2 linked regions of the Nothobranchius furzeri genome follow. The protein of the gene in region 2 interacts with the protein of the main gene of each other region in a pairwise test. Links are inferred from orthologs where the notes say so. Each region holds a gene or a part of one and is shown on either strand. Other genes may lie near its edges. The genes, in order: sox14 and naif1.

Region 1 (4,569 bases), on a different chromosome or scaffold from region 2:
TCTCGGCAGATAAGTAAACAATTTGAATGCGGAATGTATTATTTTTAATTAATACCACACAGTGAATGCGTGCGTAAAGACGCACGGGTCGACGCAAATCATTCTCCTTTTAACAAAAGAAGGGGGGAAAACGGAAAATGAACGTGTTGGATCAACGCAGAGATGCCGGTTCGATTCCTCCTCGTCCTGTTTAGGCAGGTGTAAAACATCAAACGTTTTGTCTGGAAACGGAGGCGCGCACGGATTTGTCTCTTAAAAGCGCCCGTCAGACGAAAAGTTGTTGCGCTGGAGAAAAAAAAATCCCATCATATTGAGTTTGTTCCATTAGTTCAACCTATAATTAAGCAGTTTCCAGAAGTGATTAAGCAGTCAGACGAGTCGGACGGGCGGAATCCCTCCAGGGAGGCCTCACAGCTGTCAAACATCAAAAACCGGTTCATCCCGGTGTCACGAAAACACCTTCAGCACGCTGCAGCGCCCAACACGCCCGAAACCCTGGTTCGGTAATAACACCACTCATTATCACAGGGACTAAGTAAAAAAAAAAAAAATAAATAAAAGATGGAAAGAAGGAGGTGATTAAAATGATCTGAGAGGAGACTTTCACCGCCAGGCCCAAGGGTTGGGTTTAATATTAATATTCAGCCTTTCCATCATCATTATGCTATTAGAATTTAGTGTTGGTTTACCTTCAAACACCTGAACTCAACACATACAGGAAGTTGATCTGGTTCAAGACAGATTGTCTTTATTCAAAATGTCTTTGCTCAGCACTTGAACAAAGAGCGGGAGGTGTCAACCTTCTAGATACATGACCCTTTCCAGAACATGACAGGTTTAAATCTGAGAAAACACAGAGAACATATCCTTAAAAAGAACAAAATAATAAAAATAAAATAAAATAAAAAAAGCTTTGAGAAATGAAGAAACGGTGCGTGGGACGGAACCACATAAAATACAGTCCAATTAGACGTTTTTCCCTCAGAGAACTGAAATAAAACGTGTGTTTTCCGCTTCATTTTGTTTTTATTTGTGATAAATATAAACAATAAAACCCGTATATAAAGCAGCCTATCAGTCCGGATTTTGACCCAGGTCATGATAAAATGGGGACTAGTTAGCAGGCTTATACAGGGATGTGCCAGCCAAATTTCTTTCTTTTTTTTTTCCAAAACAAAACAGCAGCCAATAATCAACACAAATCAGCATATCAGCATTGAAATGTACATAATAAATAAAGTTTAAGGCCTCCCTTTCTGGTTGCCATTATAACATTTACATTTCTTAAAGTTCTCTGCTCCTCGTCTTCTAGACCAAACTCCAGCTCCAAAACTTGAGTTTTTTTTTCTGAAAAGTTTCTCTTTCTCTCTCTTAGTTGATTTTTCTGCCAGATTAAGTCCGAGGCAGATTAACACTGTTCATGCCGTTAACGAGGCGCGCCGTCCGGTATCATATTTACATGCATTTCGGTTTTCAAGTGGATTAAAAACAGTAACGAGTCTTCGGGATTACATGGCAGCAGCGTGTGCGGATGAATAAGGGTCTATCCCAGTCTTGGTCATACCTGGAAAAAGTATGTAGGCCACCGGGGGCTGTAAACTGGACGCCGACCAGGCTGTGCAGTTACACGGGACCACGTAGCCCGGGTTCGTGGGGGACGGGTGGGTGTGGGTGTGCTGGCTGGGGCACCCAAGCGTCCCGAACGCACCGTTCTGGTATCCCAGCGAGGACGCGTACGGCAAAGTGCTGGTGCTCAACGTGTGGGGCATCTCCGTCATCTTCTGGATGGCGCTGGAGCTGAACTGGCTCGGGTCGAGGAACGAGTACGGGGCGGACGTCGGCGGCAGGAACGCCCGGGCTTTCTCCGATGAGCCCAGCAGAGAGTCCGCGGCCGAGACCGGCAGTCCCTTCAGGTGGTCGGTGTCCCCGAGGTAAGGCAGAGGGAAAACGTAGCGGTCCTTCTTCAGCAGGTTTTTGGGTTTGCGCCTGGGTCGGTACTTGTAGTCGGGGTGCTCCTTCATGTGCTGCGCCCGCAGCCTCTTGGCCTCGTCGATGTAGGGTCTCTTCTCAGACTCGGACAGCAGCTTCCACTCGGCGCCCAGCCGTTTGCTGATCTCCGAGTTGTGCATTTTGGGATTCTCCTGAGCCATTTTCCTCCTCTGGCCCCGGGACCAGACCATGAAGGCGTTCATGGGTCTCTTGATGTGATCAGCAGGCTTCGACATGTTTAATCTGCACTTTTATCCCCCTCCCAATGTCAGTGACAAGCAAAAGTTGCGATGAGAAGGAAGGAAGGAAGGAAGGGAAGTCGTTCACCTGTCTAAATGACAGAGAGCGGTCATGCCACGTCTGGATGCGTCTGAAAAACAGCAAAAAACGGAGAAAAATCCAGCACCCGGCTCGGTTCTTCCCGAGGAAAAAAGACAGATGCGCTCGCTGAGGTCCGCTTCCAACTCTGAATCAGACCGGCGGCGTGGATGAAACGAAAAACACGTGAAGAAAAATCCACAAAGGTGAAAGCAGCGTTCCGCGTTCAGATGGCAGGAGCCAGAAAGTGTCCAGCTTTTGAAATACGTATAATTTTTATTGTGACTCTTTAGGTGACTTTCTCTCTCTGTGAGGTTTGTTCTCAAGCACCTGGTTTGGAAATGAGCGGTAAGAGAGTGAATACGAGCCAAAAGCGGTGAAGTTCAAAGGCTGGGCTGGTTTGGTTTCTGCACGCAATCTGACATAATCTGCAGGGCGTTCACTCGCCAACCTGCGCGCCCAATCAGCACGGAGACCGGCTATTAGAGCCCCTCCGGGGGAAACTACAGGCTATGTACATTACAACATAAACAAAGACCGCACAAAAAAGAAAAGAAAGGAAAAGAAAACGAGAACAGGAGTGTGTGGGTGTGTGTGAGAGTGTAACAGAATCCCTCTTGATCCCTTTTAATGTCATTTACCTGACTGAACACGGAGTTAACCTCCAAACCAGACTTCAGCCTGGCTTAAGGATTTACTTAACAACTCGTTATTAAAACTTTTACGAGATGAAGCCCGTTAAAAATAATTACAATAAAATATACCTTTTACACTTTTTATTTTTGTTGTGCGTTTACTAAAATAATATTAATAATAGATGTGATGATAAAGAAAACCAGAAAACCTTTAAAAAACATCAATAAACAAAATAAAACATGTAATTTAAAGAAAATGTCACACATCAAACATCGTTTTGTTTTGTTTGGTGTTTTTTTTGGCACATCTTTGACAAATCTCAGAGTTCTAGCCATAAAAAGTAAATAACAATGGAGGCTTGAATAGAAAAGCCCGAGAGTGCGCACATACGCACAGCGCGCTGTCTCTTCAGGCCCGCACGTGCTGTGCACGTATCTCGATGGGGAACACCAAACCATGGGTCCCATCCATCTGATGGTGCGGAGGATCCCCCTTACTGGGACCAGTAACAGCCCGCAGGCTAAGACGCGTGATGTATGATTCAGTCACCTGTGATTATTAAACTAAAGGCAGACCGATTAGGACCCCCCCTCCCCCCCTCCTCCTCCCCCCCCCCCCCCCCCCCACACACACGCACACACACAGTGTGGATGGAGTTGGTTTGTGTCATCTTTAGTTCATGTTTACTCTGGCGTGCACGTCTCCACACAGTCCATTTCACGTTTAAAGAATGTTGATGATTCATCTGAGACATCGGACAAATATAAAATATTTGTCAGACATTTTCATTATTTCTTATGTTTACACACTTTTCTTTACAGTTCGTTTTTTTATCAAACCCTTTGATGCCATTTCAACATGAAATATGTCTCTTTTATAAGATAAATGCAAACAGTGAGTTTGCGTAATTCTGACATATTTGTTATTTGTTTTTGATGATTCTTAACAAACTTTTGTAATTTGTTTGCCCCCAAACACCATGCCGGGTTGACGGGTTTCGTCACTTTTATAGGATTTGAATACTAAAAATCAAGCATATTAGTTTGGCTGAATAGAAAAATAAATGTTAATTTAGTTTAAAATTATTGTTTAAAAAAACTAGTTCATTTTCTTTTGGGTGCCAACGTTACTTTTCATATTTCTGACATGTGAACCTCATTAGAGTGACATTTTAACACAACATCATTAGTTCTGATTGAAACTGAATTCTGAGTTTTGTGGACCTGTTGGGGGCGGGGCTAGCGCTGTTACCTGTGGCATCCGCTTCACGTTTCTCACGACCTCCACATCTCTCTCTCTCTCTCTCTCTCTCTCTCTCTCTCTCTCTCTCTCTCTCTCTCTCTCTCTCTCTCCCATTAGCTCACATGCGCATGCGCCAGTCGGAGGCCACTAACAAGATTTCCATCATATCTGTTTTTACAAAACCTCGAAAACGTCCTTATTGTTAAATAAAAATCATCCCAAGTTACAGAACAATCAGCTGAGGACATCCCTTTTCAATGCACGCTATACGTTTTTGCTAGTTGTAAATAAAAATAATAACTAACGAAAATACCTCCTCGCCTTCAGCAGCACCACGTGATCTGCGACCTGCATGCTTTGCTCTGCAGGTTGCCTTGATGTTTT
Region 2 (3,417 bases):
GTCTAAATGTTCCATGTGCATTTACACGTCAGCAGTAACGCCTATAATATCCACACATCCCAACAAATCCCACAGTAGTTACCTTTGTAATGAGACCAAAGTAATCTTACACAGATATACTCTCTAAAGGATGTCATCATTCAGTCAGACGTCCATCACCTGGGCCTCACTAACACTAGTTTTAATTAAAAGAACTGCTTGAGGGTAAATCGTGTTCAAGGGTCAATGGGTGATTAATCAAGATTAATTACAAAGCCTCTAATTAGATTATTTTATAATCGAGTCCCACCTCGTTTGTACACCAGAGAAGATGGCTAACTTTTTATTAGTGGTAGGAAGTTCTAGAAATCGCGGTTTAGAGGTGGAAACTGCATGAAGAAGTGGAAGAGAAGGTGTTAAAAGGTCTCTGAAATACATAAACACAATGTCAACACAGGATAGTAAATACACTAGAGACAGGACTGCTGGGGTTGCAGCATCTTATCTTTATAACCTCAGGAAGTCTGAATGATTCATTTAGTCCAGAACATCAGATTCATGAATTCCTTTTATTAAAAAGCAGTTTAACGACAGCAGGTTTATCGTTGATGTGAAGCTGAAGCTTAATCAAACGAGTAGAAAACAGCCTCTAAACAGGAAGGAGAAAAGAAAAGATCGCATTATCGGTCTGCTGTATCAGGTGACCATCAGAGGATTCTCAAATCAGCTGGTCACACAGCACCCCCGCTGGTGGAACAGCAGACCCGGACCTGACCGAGAGACCCGATCAGACCCAGACCTGACCAAAAGACCCGATCAGAACTGTACACCTGATCAGAATCCAGAGACCCGATCAGACACAGAGACCTGACCAAGAGACCCGATGTGACCAAGAATCCCGATCAGACCTGGACCTGACCAAGAGACCTGATCAGACCCGTACACCTGATCAGAACCCAGACCTGAACCTGAGACTCGATCAGACTCAAACCTGACCCTGAGACCCTATCAGAGCCTGAGACCAGATTAGACCCAGACTTGATTCAGAGACCTGATGGATTCTGGACCCGGTCTCTCCTGGGCGAACCTTAATGTTCCGGTCATGATGACAATGTATTGAACAGTCTGTCAGAACCATCATGAATAAGAACTTCAAGACTTCGAGTTCAGGTCCTGTAGTGTCTTGTGTACAGACCTGGCTCACTGGGTCTCCTCCGTTTGCTGTGAAGGTGTTTTGGGTCGTATCTGCTCCTCGGTACTAGCTCCATCAGCAACTGCTCCTGATCCTGGACCATTGGGGTTTGTCACCTCTGACCCACTCTGCAGAAACTTTCTCAGGTCCTTCAGAGCCGGTCTGAGCATCTGAACCAAAGCGAGCAAAGCGGCCTGGGTCCCCTCTAGAGCCTGGGCCTGGCGTTCCTGGGCCAGCGCCTGTACCTCCTGACAGCGCCGCATCATCTGCAGCAGCTCGTTCTGACCCTCCAGGTGCTGGGCGATCTGTCGCACGTGCACGTTGGTGACTCTCTGCTCCTGCAGCAGGCGGGCAGAGTTCAGGGCGATCCGGCTCTTCAGCTCCTGGGGTTTGACCTGAGACGGCACCAGAGGCGGGGAGGACGAGGACGAGGCCAGCATTTCCATCGGAGTTTCAACAGCAGTCACCACGGTGGGGGTGGGGTCACCCATGCTGGTTGTGCAGTACTCCACCACACCTCCGTCCTCCAGGGTGTGGAAGGTGGTTTCAGCTGTAGACAGGGCAGGTCAGACAGAGAAGACAGGTTTCTATTGACTAGATTTATTTCACCGTTCATTTTTCTTAAATAATTGTATGTGAAAGTTTTTTCAACTCTACCACAGGGGTAGACCGATATATCGGGACGATTTACCTCCTTACCGTCACTTTACCTGTTTAAAAATTAGGCACATGCTTGGGCTGCTGTACGAAGTAATTTTTAAATAGGATGGGAGGCAGATCTTTTAGCTGTTAGGCTCCTCTCCTGTAGAACCAGCTCCCAGCTTCAGTCCGTGAGGCAGACACCTTGTCTACTTTTAAGAATAGGCTCAAAACATTTTTATTTGAGGGCCTATGGTTAAAATCTGATGTTAGCCCAGATCTGGGCAAGTGGGGGAGTAGAGGGAGGTGGAGTGTACAGTCGGTAAAGACGGCTCTCCCTTGCCCTGCCTCCAACATGCCTCCATCTAAAAGGCTAGGTTATCCAGAGTTATCTCTGTAGTTATGCTGCTATAGGCTTAGACTGCTGGAGGACACACTGACCACTTTCCACACTCGACTACTTTCTTCTACAATCTGCTCTTTAACTGTATTATTTCCTGCTATTTCAGCTGTTAACTTTATTTTTTCTCTAAGTGTTTTTCTCCCCAGAAGAAGCTACAATGATGTTCTGCTGAGCTGTGGTGGCCTCATGGAGGGGGCCATCGGCTAGCACACTGCTGCTAACCACTTAAACATTCTCCCTCTCCTGATAACTTTTTACTCTCTTTGACATAGAATGTGCTACTACTAGTTTACCCGTTTAATTATAGATTCACTAGAATAAATACAATAAAGTTTATCTCTCACCAAATAGAATATTTACTAAGAAATCACAATGTAAACTGTGTGTGTGCTGCTTATACTGAGCCAGGATCCTCTGGAGGTTTCTTCCTGTTAAAAGGGACTTTTCCTCTCCACTGTCGCTGCATGCTTGCTAAGTATGATTGCTGTAAAGACTTGGACACTAGTCAGTGACTCGATGCAACCTGCTGGGTTCCTTATATAGGAAACTTGTTATTGACTGGCTTAATGACCTGACCTGTGTTGGAGTGTTTACTGTGTGAAGGTCCTAGAGACGACGCTGGTCCTGACTTGGAACTATAAATACTTAATAGAAATTTAATGTATATGAATGTTTCTGAATAACATCTGTATAATAAATACTTACTTTCAACAAAAAATGTATTTTTTATTAGCCAGTGTTGAATATTGGATACTTGATCAGTTAAGTGATTAATTTAATCAACTTTAGTTACATTTTAATTTTGTGCCCGGCGTTAAAATCACACTTCAGAGTTCAGCTGCTGCTAATGTCACGTTAGCATCAAAGTAGGTAAACAACGTCTAACGCATCGGTAACAAAAAACCAGTCTACCTCTACTCGGCTGCTCCAGAACTTTGTGTCTTCCTCAGTAAACTAAAGACCAAACAAGGTTCTGGTGGTACACTGACCTGTCAGTGGTTTGTTGTCGTTGCAGACGGTTCCTGCAGCGTCTGGAAGAGCTTTAGAACAAAAACATGATTCAGAACAAAACACCTGGACAGATAAAAGCACCAGAACCAGACCAGAGCTCAGATCTGGACCTGAACCAACACAGATAAACAATCATCACATTCTGGAGGTCTACTTCCGGGTTCGGATGAGAGGATCCTAAAACTCCATCAGG

What was found.
Region 1: the proteins of naif1 (region 2) and sox14 interact in binary tests that used the Homo sapiens proteins (3 or more experiments, as listed by UniProt). The two-hybrid records come from large-scale screens. The link is inferred for Nothobranchius furzeri from reciprocal best matches to the Homo sapiens genes NAIF1 and SOX14.

The regions. Positions count from the first base shown.
Region 1 is NC_091756.1:59,713,626-59,718,194, forward strand, and holds sox14 (transcription factor Sox-14), read right to left. Parts: upstream 2,861-4,569; 5' UTR 2,226-2,860; coding exon 1,509-2,225; 3' UTR 609-1,508; downstream 1-608. UniProt on the Homo sapiens protein: Acts as a negative regulator of transcription.
Region 2 is NC_091746.1:70,818,813-70,822,229, forward strand, and holds the end of naif1 (nuclear apoptosis-inducing factor 1), read right to left. Parts: intron 3,254-3,417; coding exon 3,203-3,253; intron 1,722-3,202; coding exon 1,180-1,721; 3' UTR 1,175-1,179; intron 629-1,174; 3' UTR 530-628; downstream 1-529. UniProt on the Homo sapiens protein: Induces apoptosis.